Linked DNA regions of Tribolium castaneum. Each later gene encodes a partner of the first gene's protein in a complex. Links are inferred from orthologs where the notes say so. Each region holds a gene or a part of one and is shown in the gene's direction. Other genes may lie near its edges. The genes, in order: eukaryotic initiation factor 4A-III, btz and Ref1.

Region 1 (4,518 bases):
TTTTTAGTCAACAAATATGGAAAACAAATTTCTAATAATTTTAAGAATTTACAGGTTACTGTAATCTACTACTTAAGAAAACAGCGCATAGATAACACGATTTTTTTTGTAGACTATTGTAAACATGTACTTTGACATACCATACTTAGATGTCGCCGCTTACGTTTTTTTTGTTTTTAATTTTTTTATGTAATCTAAAAAATTTAATAAAGATATATTAAAAATTTTATAAAATTTGTGATTTACAAAATGCGTAATATCTTCGTTCCTGTAGAAGATAGAGGGGTGGTTCTGCCCTTTTAAAGCCCCTACCGCCCCGTAGTATTTTTCCTGCGCTATCAAATGGAATAGGTCTCGTTCCTGTATCTCTATCAGAAACCGCAATAGCATTGCACATTTTTAAATCGGTAATCGGAGTACATCACGTAATAGTGCCTCAAAAGTTACGTGTGAATGCAGAATTTCAAGTTGCTACGATAACAGGAAGTGTTTCAAAATTAACTCGTAACATATGATTCCAAATAAATCACATTATTTAAAAGCTTTTAACAAAAAATCTAGTTTTTTATTAGCAGTTTTTATTGAACTTTCTTCCGGATTTATAAATATTTTGAACTTAAATTTGGGAGACTTCCTGTTGTCGTAACAACTTGAAATTTTGCATGTCCACGTAACTTTTGGAGCCCTATTACGTCATGTACTTCGATTCTCGATTAAAAAATGTGCAATGCTATTTCGGTTCCTGATGGAGATACGGGAACAGGACCTAGCCTATTCGATAGCCCAGGAAAAATACTACGGGGCGGTAGGGTTTTCAAAAGGGCAAAACCACCCCTCTATCTCCTACAGGAACGAAGATATTTCGCATTTTGTGAAATACAAGATTTCCTTAAATTTCTATAAAAATTTTGAAATGTGAAAGAAAATTTTAGGTTGTTTACAAAATTTTTATAAAAATTGAAGAAAATCTTGTAATTCACAAAATCTTAAATATCTCCGTTCCTGTAGGAGATAGAGGGGTGGTTCTGCCCTTTTGAAAACCCTACCGCCCCGTAGTATTTTTCCTGGGCTATCGAATGGAATAGGTCCCGTTCCCGTATCTCCATCAGGAACCGAGATAGCATTGCACATCTTTAAATCAACAACCGAAGTACATTACGTAATAGTGCTCCAAAAGTTATGTGTGCATGCAAAATTTCAAGTTGCTACGATAACAGGAAGTGTCTTAAATTTAAGTTCAAAATATTTATAACTCCGAAAGACAAACAAAGCAAGTTGAATAAAAATTCTAATAAAAAACTACAGCTTGTTTGTTCACAGACTTTATTTAATGCGATTTATTTTGAATCATATTTTACGAGTTAATTTTGAGGCACTTCCTGTTGTCGTAGCAACTTCAAATTTTGCATGCACACGTAACTTTTGGAGCACTATTACGTCATGTACTTCGATTCCCGATTAAAAAATGTGCAATGCTATTTCGGTTCCTGATGGAGATACGGGAACGGGACCTAGCCTATTCGATAGCCCAGGAAAAATACTACGGGGCGGTTGGGTTTTCAAAAGGGCAAAACCACCCCTCTATCTTGTACGAGAACGAAGATATTTCGCATTTTGTAAATTACAAATTCTATAAAATTTTTACTAGATCTTTATTACATTTTTTAGATTACACAAAAAAATTAAAACCAAAAAACGTAAGCGGCGACATCTGAGTATGGTAGGTCAAAGTACATGTTTACAGTAATCTAGAAAAAAATTGTGTGCCATCTATGGGTTGCTACAGTAACCTATAAATTGTATTTTTTTAACAGTATGCACAGGCAACCAATTATACAAGACAATCTTGTATATTGCCTACTATTAAGTGGACGCCATATTTTTGTCAAATGTCAAAAAACGCTAAAAGACGTAGCGACTCGCGTGCAAACAACATTAAACGGGCGAAAAAGTGTTTAAAAGTTAGTAAAGGTGAAAAATAAGTGTTTTATTTCTCTCAATACTACAAACAAACCAGTTGGGGACGTGCAAGTGGCCCCAAAAATGCAAACACCTTTGTGAAAGACAGGTGCCCCAAGTGTTGTGCTTCAGTGAACTGGACATTCAATTAAATCATCTAAACTTTACTTTAACACACGTTCTAATTTCTGACGGAGGCAATGGCTGTCGCAAAACCTTCAAACCGCAATGCGGCTTTCGAAGACTTGTCGAACGTTGAGTTCGAAACCAGCGAAGATGTGGAAGTCATCGAGCAATTTAAGAATATGCACCTGAAGGAGGAGCTCCTTCGCGGTGTCTTTGCATATGGTAATAGGAAAATGTGGGTCAGTGCGGCTCGGATTGAGGTCATTGCTTTCAGGTTTTGAGAAACCATCAGCTATCCAACAGAGGGCTATCAAGCCGATAATAAAGGGCCGAGATGTTATCGCTCAAGCCCAGTCAGGTACCGGCAAAACGGCCACATTCTCGATCGCTATTTTGCAGTCGCTTGACTTGCAAACGCGGGAAACCCAAGTACTTTGCTTGTCGCCAACGAGGGAGTTGGCCGTGCAAATCCAGAAAGTTATCCTGGCTTTGGGGGACTTTATGAACGTGCAGTGTCACGCCTGCATTGGTGGGACCAATCTGGGAGAGGATATCAGGAAGCTGGATTATGGGCAACATGTTGTTAGTGGAACACCTGGAAGAGTTTACGGTACTTATAATTATCTTATAAATAATTTCCCCTACCAAAAAACTTAATTTTCAGACATGATCAGACGGCGCGCCCTTAGGACCAGGTCCGTCAAAATGCTGGTTTTGGACGAAGCCGACGAAATGTTAAACAAAGGCTTCAAGGAGCAAATCTACGACGTTTACAGGTTCCTGCCGCCCTCCACTCAAGTCGTGTTGATTTCTGCGACTTTGCCCCACGAGATTTTGGAGATCACGTCGAAGTTCATGACGGACCCGATCCGTATTTTGGTAAAACGTGATGAATTAACTCTTGAAGGCATCAAGCAATTTTTCGTCGCGGTTGAGCGTGAGGAGTGGAAATTTGACACACTTTGTGACTTGTACGATACTTTAACCATCACGCAAGCTGTTATCTTTTGCAACACTAAACGCAAAGTCGATTGGTTGACTGAAAAAATGCGCGAAAACAATTTCACCGTGAGTTCCATGCACGGTGATATGCCCCAGAAGGAGAGAGATAATATTATGAAGGAGTTCAGGTCGGGACAGAGTCGTGTACTTATCACGACCGATGTGTGGGCGAGAGGTATCGACGTCCAGCAAGTCAGTTTGGTCATTAATTACGATTTGCCGAACAACCGTGAGTTGTACATTCACCGTATTGGGCGATCTGGCAGGTTTGGTAGAAAGGGTGTTGCGATTAATTTCGTCAAGTCGGACGATATCAGGATTTTGCGGGATATTGAGCAGTATTATTCCACACAGATTGACGAAATGCCGATGAATGTCGCTGATTTAATTTAAACGAATAACATTTTTTATGTCCTTATATTATGTAAGAAGTTTGTGTAATAATTAATTAATTAATATGGGAAGTAATAAACGACTATGATTTTTCCTACTCCTAATATTTCTCTCGCCAAATTAAAATCAGAATGACAAATATTCATACCAGAAAATGCACTAAAACTTGAATTCTTTGTATTTTTTCGTTTGTTTTGTGTCCTGTTGTTGGCGCTTGCGTTTATTCTAAAACGAAACAATTAGGTAAATCAACAAATTACACAATATGTTACCTTTTGTTTGGCGACGTGCTCAGCTAACATATCACTGAGATCTTCCTTCTGCAGCTGTGACTGGTTTTCCCTCATTTGTTGTTCGTAACGAACCGCCATTGCATCGCTATCCATATCCAACTCAGACGGATCAAGAGCCAACTCAACCATTCCTTCCTTGTCCCCTGGTTTGCGACTAGTTGCAGGGGCTGCGCCCACAGCAGACATGTCGTAAACGTGGCTGCTCCCCATCATGGAACCACCTATTCTCTCATTGCGTTTTTCGGGAATGACATGATACAAAATCGGGTTTTCACCCCTACAAAACAATTTAAAATACCCCCCTAGAGACAAAATAATTCTTACTGTTCCATTTCGCTCTCGATTTTCTTTTTCCTCAATTCTATAGCTTCGGGTGTTTCCATGCCAGTTGGCACGCTTGTGAGACCACTAGGTGTCACCAAGCCCTCAGCTGGAGTAACAAGACCGGATTCGTCAGCGGCGTTTTGTTGGTTGTCTTGGTCTTCCTCCTCTTCCTCATCCTCCTCCTCTGATTCGGACTCGAGCTCGCCCCAGAGGGTGCGATCCACGGAAGGGTCCTCACCAATGTCCTAAACATTGATATTTGAACAAAATTCAATAAAACAATATTATAAAATACTTACATCTATGTTGGTAACATTTGTTCCAAACACATCACCGTACAATGGTTTTCCATTTTCGTCCACCGGTGGTTTTCCCCACCCACCGGCATGGTACCCAAAGGCACAACCATCAGGGATGGGGG
Region 2 (5,305 bases), about 940 kb from region 1:
GTAAATGTTAAAAGAAAAATAAAATATTTTTGACAATGAAGTAGACTTTTAGTAATAAAGAATGATTCTTATTGATGATGGAAAAAAATTTTCAAAGAGATTTTTGAGATTTTTTCAGTTTTCAGAATTTTTTTCTAAATTAAGTAAAGCATTGAACGCATTTTAAAAGACTTTCTCTCCTAGAGTCCAAGTGGAAGAATGTACCCTGTAAATTTCAGTCTCTAAAGAGGTTCTACTATAGTTTTGGCGTTAATTAAGCTTTTTTTGAAGACTATTGAGTTACTCAAAAATATAAGGTGCATTAGTTATCATAATTTTCCTTTCTTATTAATTATTTTTCGAAAAACTTTGGTTGTTATCACTTACAAGTCGCAGCATCCCGTTTGCGTCTTTCCATGTCTTCTATGTCTTTCGATGCTATCTCTTCAAGAAAACTGGGATAATCTATTATGAAATTAGAAAACTTTGGAAATAAACATTAGAAATTTTTCTTTTACCCGTGGGATCTGTAAGCTGTCGTTTCATTTTCCAATTGCGAAGCAAAGTGCACAACCGAAAGCATTTTTCTGTTTGCTTCCAGGCCGTTAGAGAATGCCCGTACAGAGCAACCATTACTATGAAAAATGGAACTGCCACAAAAAGTATCAAAATGAGACCCGTTTGAAAGGCAGATCTTTTCGTCCAACATGTCTATAAAACTTGCTAATGACAAATTAAGATCTTTTAAGTTGCTTTACTTTGGGCCGAACACCTTTTGGGTCTTGTGGTATCAAAAACATTCTACGAAATTTGACTTGCTTGTCACTTGGTACGCACTTGTGGTCACTCAAGAAACGGTCACTAGGTGATTAAAAAAAACGAAATTTGTGTGTTCAAAATTTATTAACCATGTCCAAAATCCAGGTTTTGTAAGAATAAACATCAATGTAAAAAACAATCGCATAACTTTCATTTTTTGGGCAAAAAGTCTCCAAATGCATTCCCACCAAGTTGTTACTTTGGTCGATCATTGGAGCATTAACCCTTTTTCCACAAAACTCGTTCCTGCTTGAAATGTAACAAGAAACATGCTTCTGTTTGATGAAACCCGTACAGTCCTCGTGTTGATAAACACGAACATCAAAACTGAGCAATTTGTTGAATTTTTGCCTTTGTGCCAACGGGAGATCCACTCTCCTATCCCAAGTAAAGCTCTGTACAAATCGATCAAGTTTCGCAATTTCAAATGCCTTATCGTCAGTTGCATTAAAATGTAGCAAAACCAAACCAAAATTAGAAAAAATGACATTATTGACCCTTTTTGTCACTCCCCCGAAAGACCACCATGACGACCCTAATCTCAGAACGCCCAAATTTTCAACACAGTCATCAACAGCTAGGGCCCAGTTTCGCGCAATAACACCAACAGCACATTTGAAAAATCCTTCTTTTGCATCAATATATCGCTTTCCGAGAAGAGCGGCAATTGCTGGATTCTCTGATTCCTTACACTTTGCAAGAGTGAAGGTTTGGCTAAGAGAACTAATAGATCTTTTGTTAAGGGCATCAAGTTCAAATTCATATTCTATGTATTCGCGATCGCGTTTGTCGTAAATATTTAGAGTTTTATTTGCTAAATAACAGCATAGAGCGTCACATCTTTCCGAGGCAGGCCCAAAGGCCCCAAAGGCAAACGCTAAGTAAAGCGCGACCATTACCACGAAGAATGGGACTGCTACCATCAAAATAAGGTGAAGAACAGTTTGAAATGAGCTTTTCTACAACAGTTAAGTGGGTTATTGGAACATTTTCTATAAAGTTTTACCATGATTAACGCTAAATTATGTCAAAATTTTTGAATTTTAATTTATTTTTTTTAATTTCACAAGTTGTCTCTGGTGCGATCTATGCAACTAATATAACTCAAATTGTATAAAAAAAATTTTAACTAAAAAACTATAGATGACGTTTCAATCGACTGCTTATATTAGTTTGCGGCCTTTTGGACAATTTTATCAACAAGGGCGTTTTTATTTAAATTTTACTTATAAAAGTATAGGCAACTAGTTATTCAGTTGCCACCAAAAGTTGGTGCTTCTGTGCTTAACCTAACCTCTGAAACCTTGTGACAAGGAGTTGCTAGTTGGCACCAACTTGTTTCTCTCTGTTTCTTTTCCTTTCACGTCGTTCCATTGAGCATGAAAAGGACCAGAAACGAGACGTAAGTCTTGAATTTGTCACTGGCCATCGAATCTTGCCAATCCGGCCAAGATAAAGATATTTGTAAAACAACAAAAAGATGGAAGAAACCGTTGCTGTGCCAGCGACAGCCCCCCAAACGGTGGAAAACATATCACAGGTGAGCCCAATTGCTCCTTACGTTGCTCCTTCGTTCCGGAAAAGAGAAAGATTTGAGAAAAAATTAACAAACCAGGTCACAAGTTCAGAACGAAGTGGAGCACAACCGAGGCGATCTCGCGTGAATTCTTCTCAGTTTAAGAATGATTTTGCAGGAAAAGACACGAATTGACGCTGAGGAGAGCCACAAGTCCCCTAACGAGTCGGAGTATGACAGTGCAGGGAGTTACAGTGATGAAGAGGAGGATAAAGCGAGGTCGAGGAATTCCAGGGAGCACACTGATTCGGAAACTGAAGGCAGTGTAGGGCTGGAGCGGGAATCTGGCGACGGACAGGAGAGTTTGCCTCTCAGGAAGGTGGACGATGATGAGGACAAGAAAAACCCCCAGTACATACCCAAAAGGGGCACTTTTTACGAACACGATGACCGGACAGCTGATGACGAGTGAGTGCGAATAATTACACAGTTCATGTAGTGTGACTGATTAATTGTTTAGGCAAACAGCTGATAATGTAGAATTGGAGAAGGAAAAAGAACAGAAGAAAAAAGTATGGCAGGATAAGAAGGAAAGGTGGAGTCATGATCGTTTTAACGACTCTGAGCAAGCCCCCAAGTCCAGGGCTGAACTTGTGGCCATCTATGGGTACGATATTAGGAACGAGGAAGGTCCCCCTCGAGCTCGAAGGCGCAGACGATACGGGTGAGTTCCCTCACTGTGTTAAAAATCGGTTTAATTTGTTGCGCATGCATTTCCAAAGACGTGGCCCTAACAAGTATACAAGAAACTGGGAAGACGAAGATGCCTACAACAAACCGCCACCTCTTATTCGTAAAAAGAAACCCCTCAGAAAGCCCAATCAAGGCGAAGACTTTCCGCCTCTAAACCGCTCAAGTAATCAAGAAGACCCGCAGGATAGCAGAGATTACGAAGAGAAAACAGACCAGTACCAAGCTGAAACAAACGGTAACACGAAAAATTCAGTATGCGAGTCTCCGCAGTCTCCGCCAGTCCCACCACAAGAATCCAACAGGATGCAGCAACGCGTCGGTTCTGGCCGTGTGGTTAAACCAAAACGCGAAATCAAGGATTCAGATTATAGGGGTTTTACTACAAAAACACGTCAAGTTAGGAATATGAAAACTGATCAAAAAGTCGTCCCGAAATCCTCGAAAAAAGACGATTTTATCCAGTCGCAAAATTTTACAAATAAAAATAACAACATACAAGAGCTAGAAAAGGATTTATCAAAATTGAACGTTCAGGATGGGGTGCATAAAGGGGGTAAACACGGGGGACAGAGACAAGGCAGCGTCCCACCAAGACTCCAATCGGAACAAAAGGGCTCCAAACGGTACAGTTCCATCAGACAGAGGTCGCTTCCAGAGTCGGCAACGCCGCCGTTCTCGCAGCACTCGAATTACTACTCAAATGGTAGGTTCAAATTATAACATCATCACTTAAATTTATTTTCAAGTATACGCACAATACAAATAATTTATGTTATGGTTATGATTTTGCGCTAAATGTTACTGGTCGATTTTGTTTGGTTTTTGATTTTTTTTTACACAAACACAAAGTACAACAGTAAGTGTTAAAAGAAAAAGAAAATATTTTTGGCCATGAAGTAGATTTTAAGTAATAAAGAATGATTATTATTGTTGATGGGAAATTTTTTTCTGAGTATTAGATTTTGATGAGATTTTTTAGTTTTCAGAATTTTTTTCTGAATTAAGTAAAGCAGTGAACGCATTTTAAAAGACTTTCTCCCCTAGAGTCTGAGTGAAAGAATGTACCCTGTAAAATAATATCAAAAATGCTTCTTAACACGGCTGTAAATCATTGCGGAAAATAGCTAAAATGTAATCCTTTTTTGCCCTCTTAATTATAGTCTTGAATATATTTTCTTAGGCAACCAATTCGCAATATATTCCTTTGGACATTACATTTGATAAAAAATAATTTTCATCTGGTAAGTAGATGGGTCCAGGACGACCTTAATTCGGATCTAAACTAGTAAATATTATAATTGATTAGTTTAACTCTGACTAAAACATTTTTGGATTATCATTAGACCCCTCAGTGGTTTGAGGCCACGCTGTACCTACTAAGCGCCCCCTGGCCCTTAATTAACATCAATTTTTCCCAACTGTAAAACTAGAGACAGGATATAGGTAGTTTGAAAGTGTTACAGTACAGTATAGTGAACAAAAAATTTCGGGCACTTAATTAACGGCATTAAAAAAAACGATGTGGTTTAGGCTTAATGAGACGAATGTTTTTAACACGAAGGTTTATGAAGATGAAATGTTGAAGATCTTTGATTTTTTGCTCGCGACGGTACTTACAGGAAACATTTTTTGATAGGTACTTCTGGACCGCGCCAACATTTTTTGGTTGAACAAATGAGCACTTACCACTTTTACGTGTGATTAATTTAGAAATTATGAGTGCAGTCACCATACGCAGTCAGTGTGGGAGCTCTTAACACTTTTGCATAAATCAGCAGCACAGTCTGAAAAACACTACATTGATATTACGTGTTTTATGTGCCTTATGACCCCCTTTAGCATTTTTCAATTACCCAAAACAGTTTCCACAGATTTTTCGTCTTATTTGTTGGATTTTCTCAAATCATTTTCGAAATGTCATCCGTCAAATTTAAAAGAACGTGCGCATGCGCAATAATTTTTAACGTGTGTATTAGCCAAATTCTTTTGTAACTAAAATAAAAAAGTTTTCATTTAATATTTCTTATTTATTTTCTCTCGGTGTTTCAATTTTGCCTCTTTTCATCTAGCAGATCCTCCAGTATTTCATAAAGGGGTAGAATAACATGCGAGGGGACAAAGACAGATTCATTAATACTATTTAATGAATTAGCGTAAAACTAGGCACGTAATAGTGAAAGTTGTAAGCGTTTTGATTGGGCCGTTTGAGGTCGGCCATTAAAATTACGGAGAAAACCA
Region 3 (4,307 bases), on another chromosome or scaffold:
AAAACAAACGCCCATTCATAATTGTACCATATTATTCTATTGTACTAAGTGCCAAATATTATTTTTATCGTTGGAGAAATGGTCACGAAGAGATTTTGATTCGTCGGCTGGATAAAACGGCAGTCGACTGCTATTGATTGCCGACACAACTTGCGTCATTTTCGGCGTGACCCTGTTCACGTACGAAATAGAACCACACTCAGTCATAATGTGGTCATAATAAAGTAACATTAACTTAAGTACACTAATTGATACGAGACATCTATTGTTCCTCAAACGAACTAATCCTGAAACGACTTTTCAATAAATTTCTGCCATGTAAACGTGCAGATGATAAATGAGCATAAACAAACCCACGCTCACTTGATCCGATTAATTTTCGAATTTTATGAGTGGACATTGTTTTTGACCTGTACTCTACTCGATATTTTTAGGAGCGGCGTAAAATAATATTTGTTATTAGAAAAAATTCCAAACTGCAAGATTAAACAGTTTCCAATTTTTTTTTATCTAGATTCATCTATCAGAGCGTAAATATAACAATTTTTATTAACTGGTGCATTGTGATAAACTCACCCAGTCATGACATTGACACGTATCAGTGGCCCTCGAGTATACCTACTTACAATAACGGCGATAACAGACTTCCAATTTGATAATGATGATAAATGAAGAAGACAGTTTGTGCACCTGTTTAAAATTAACACGAGTAAAATTAAAAAAACCTCTCAGGATTCAACCGATCCTTTAAATTATTATGCTGAGATCTTTAATCTCAGTGAATGTATTTTTGTATATAACCCAATAAAACTATAAAATCAAAAATATGTTAGGATCATCTGGTGCTTTACAGTTTTCTCTGTGCATGTGATTTTTTTCAGGATTATTCTACAATTCCTTACAATAAATATTAATTAATTAAAAAAATCAATATAATAATTAATTAACTAAATTTATAGTCTTAGGGACTAGTTACTGTACAAAGCCAAATAAAATTTAATTCAGGATTAAACTTCAGTGGTGGAGAACTTACGGATAAAACGAACTAGTTTTCCGTTCATAACGAACTTTTCACAGAATTTTGAGAAATATGTCGGGGTTGATAGTAAGTATTTAATATAATAGAGAAGTGTTAACTGATGAACAAATTATTAACTAACTAAAAATAAATATTTTTTGTGTTTTGACATCTAATTACTGTGTAATTAACTACTTAATCCAAACTTTTATTATTTTTTGGGATATTAGAGGTTGAAACTTTCACTTCAGCGTCTAAAAATTAATCAGAAACGCAATATCAACTAGGAAATTGGGATTGCGTCTTTTGAGTACTTTTCCCAAAGTTTATATGACTAACAGACGGTGATTTGAGCAAACGAGCGTATGCGAGTTACATAATATACACCCGAGAACTTTAAACGTTTTCGCGTGAGTGTTTGTTTTGTTGGAATTTTTAAATTAAATTAATATTTTTTTATTACATTTTTTAAATTTCTTTTAAATTTAAACGTGTTCACATTTGATTTTTTTTACTTTTAATGGATCAAATAAAGAAAGTCTAACATTACACAATATTTCAATTCTGCCAAAGATTCTTCAAACACTAAAATGTGTTAATGAGTCAATATAAATAAACATCTGTTTTGTATTGACAATATTTTAACATACATTAGGTAGAAGAACAAAATTTCATTTACAAATACCTACCTACATAAACTGGTAGAACAAAGTTTGAAAAAAATTGAATGTATAGGGAACCAATAATACAGCGGTGTTTTTACATTGGTGTAAATAGGTTACCTATTTCATAAACATAAAAATAAGTTTTTATTCTTTGTTTCTGTATTATGCTGAAAATGCAAAAAATTGCCTAATACATGCGGTCGTATTTTTTTTTGGTAAAATCCGGGCAGGTTCCTGTGTTGCCGACAGCGCAGTGACGTGGCGCATGCGCACAGCGTCTGTCGTTCATTTTGTACGCCATTTTGTCGTTGGTTGTGTGCGTTGCCGCCGGGTGTAGAAAAAGTGAATTTCTCAGTCAAATCAGCGTACAAAATCAGTAAAAATGGTCGACACAATTGAAATGAGTTTAGATGAGATAATAAAATCCAAGCCCCGGCGCGGCGGCCGTCGCGGAGGTCGCGGCGGAACCCGCGGGGGTGGCGCGCCAAGACGCGGCACGTTCCGAAGAGCCGGCGGCGTCCAAAGGGGCCGAGGACGCGGAGGAATAACGCGCCAGTACACCCGGGTAATTGTTTCTAACTATGTTTATACTTAAGCTGCCCCGCGATGGAAGCGGCTAGCGTGCATCCAGCCGGAGAGCCGGAATTTACCCCCATCCATGTTTGTTTAGGGAGATGTGAACAGTGCTTGGAAGCACGATCTGTTCGAGGGCTACGGCCCGCGTAAAGTGGCCGCGGCTCGGGCCGTTGTGCAGTCCAATGTGGGCCCCACTAAGCTCATGGTGGGCAATTTAGACTTTGCGGTCTCCGACTCGGATATTCAGGAATTGTTCGCCGAGTTTGGGCCGCTAAAGAGCGCCTCGGTGCACTATGACCGCTCGGGGCGGTCGCTCGGCACCGCTGATGTGATTTTCGAAAGGCGCACCGACGCTATTAAGGCCATGAAGCAGTACAACGGAGTGCCTCTCGACGGACGCGCCATGAACATTCAAATCATCACGTCGGAGATTCCGTCGCCGGTCAGGAGGCCCACGGGAGAGAGGAAGTTCCAAAGCAGAAGAGGGGCTGCACCTGCCAAGGGACGACCTAACAGAGGTACAATTACTTGACCAGCGGCGGCGACGCCTCCAACAGCCGGATTTTTCAACTAAACAAATGTTTGTTTGCCAGGTCGTGGAGGAGGACGAAGTTTCAGAAATCAAAAGAAACAACCGACAGCTGAAGAACTCGACGCTGAATTAGACGCCTACACCAAGGAGATGAAATAAAATAAGTGCTATTAATATCAGAGACGCTCAACGCGCCACTTTTTGTGACTTGTGTTTAGTTCTTTCGTATTTTTATTTTGTATTTTGATTGTAACATCGAGCCTTACATTTTATAAAAAATAACCACTAAAGTACGAGGATTACGTATGCGGTTCGTTTTTTCCACAACTAAATCTAGTGTTAGGCTGTTTTCTCTTGTTAATGTAAATTGTATTGATAGGAATAAATAAGAATTAAGTGTGACTTGTCGTTTCATTAGAAATTTTTTTTATTTATACATAAAACTGCATCAGCCAAATGTATCACATGACGTTAAGACCGAGTTGTATAAAAAATTAATCGCCTTCAATCTTGATTTAAAACCATAATAAATCTTGTAACAGTTGTCGCTAAAGGCACGTTGACACGGATCGATTTTAGTCGTTTATTTCAAGTTGAACAATAAAACTTCAACAAAAATCATCGTCAGAATCTTTGTTGTGTCTTAAGTGGATCAAGTTTTTTACGATGATTTCCATTAAAAATTTTCATCTTTAATTGAACAACTAAAGTGGGTCCGTGAGAACTTGCGTTTAGGGTTTATATTACTAAATATACGACAAAACAAATTACAAAAAGTACATCCAATCGAAGCGAGTGCACTCAACGTAATTTTCATCAATAAAGAATACTAAAAGAAAATAATAATTTATTAAGCAACAGTGTAAGATTAATAATTATAGTAACTGAGCTGTCTTGTGGCTGCTTGTAATGTTCACAATTTTGTATCAAAATTAAATTACATTAAGTTTTCTTAGTTCCTATAATTCAACTTTTTTAAATTCGCCTAGTATTTTGTGTGAATATCCTTGTTCCGCATAGTTACCGAATTTAATCTAGTGTAGATATTTATAAACAAAATCTACATGTTCTTAGGGCATTAATCTGATTATAATAAAATGGAAACCACGACACCACTATATATTCCAAACGTGGCCTACAATATGTCCAAAGACTTAATATTTTTGAAACCTTTATTGTTTATTCGTGTAAAATAAATGAGTTCTAACATCTTACGTGCTTGAGCACAAATTGTTTCTATATGTGGAACAAAAAACAATAATAAAATAACGTTGGTGCAAAACTCTTTTTATATTCCTGTATTTTCCGTGTCGCCGGAAGGCTTTGGCTTGAACATATCGAACCACCAATTGACGGAATAAAATAATTAAAAATGGTTTGCTAAAAGTATAAGTGTGGAACTTAAAAACAATAAAAAATAATGAAAATAGTGTTTTGCATTTAGTTGCAACAAGCATAACATTTTATAAGAAATATCACTAAAAAACGAGGATTACATACAGTTGTTTTTTTACAA

What was found.
Region 2: the proteins of eukaryotic initiation factor 4A-III (region 1) and btz are in contact, whole or in part, in a crystal structure (PDB 2J0U), measured with the Homo sapiens proteins. The link is inferred for Tribolium castaneum from reciprocal best matches to the Homo sapiens genes EIF4A3 and CASC3. Residues at the interface, in NP_055555.1 of Homo sapiens: Thr178, Arg179, Lys198, Ile201, Tyr202, Tyr205, Arg206, Tyr207, Leu208, Pro209, Pro210, Thr212, Lys231, Phe232; in NP_031385.2 of Homo sapiens: Arg217, Trp218, Glu219, His220, Asp221, Lys222, Phe223, Glu225.
Region 3: eukaryotic initiation factor 4A-III (region 1) and Ref1 share a complex: the UniProt entries of both Homo sapiens proteins name them as parts of the ALYREF/THOC4-EJC-RNA complex. The link is inferred for Tribolium castaneum from reciprocal best matches to the Homo sapiens genes EIF4A3 and ALYREF.

Annotation. Positions count from the first base shown.
Region 1 is NC_087396.1:14,194,019-14,198,536, forward strand, and holds eukaryotic initiation factor 4A-III, read left to right. Parts: upstream 1-1,871; 5' UTR 1,872-2,159; coding exon 2,160-2,307; intron 2,308-2,359; coding exon 2,360-2,695; intron 2,696-2,749; coding exon 2,750-3,480; 3' UTR 3,481-3,577; downstream 3,578-4,518. Other genes in the region: Sf3b2 (splicing factor 3B subunit 2), read right to left, coding at 3,640-3,705, 3,753-4,050, 4,098-4,342, 4,397-4,518. UniProt on the Homo sapiens protein: ATP-dependent RNA helicase. Involved in pre-mRNA splicing as component of the spliceosome. Core component of the splicing-dependent multiprotein exon junction complex (EJC) deposited at splice junctions on mRNAs.
Region 2 is NC_087396.1:15,135,099-15,140,403, forward strand, and holds the start of btz (protein CASC3), read left to right. Parts: upstream 1-2,199; 5' UTR 2,200-2,278; coding exon 2,279-2,338; intron 2,339-2,492; coding exon 2,493-2,782; intron 2,783-2,834; coding exon 2,835-3,038; intron 3,039-3,096; coding exon 3,097-3,770; intron 3,771-5,305. Other genes in the region: uncharacterized protein Arl6, read right to left, coding at 367-444, 498-690, 738-779. UniProt on the Homo sapiens protein: Required for pre-mRNA splicing as component of the spliceosome. Core component of the splicing-dependent multiprotein exon junction complex (EJC) deposited at splice junctions on mRNAs.
Region 3 is NC_087395.1:19,979,226-19,983,532, reverse strand, and holds Ref1 (THO complex subunit 4), read left to right. Parts: upstream 1-1,953; 5' UTR 1,954-2,065; coding exon 2,066-2,248; intron 2,249-2,353; coding exon 2,354-2,777; intron 2,778-2,852; coding exon 2,853-2,950; 3' UTR 2,951-3,193; downstream 3,194-4,307. UniProt on the Homo sapiens protein: Functions as an mRNA export adapter; component of the transcription/export (TREX) complex which is thought to couple mRNA transcription, processing and nuclear export, and specifically associates with spliced mRNA and not with unspliced pre-mRNA.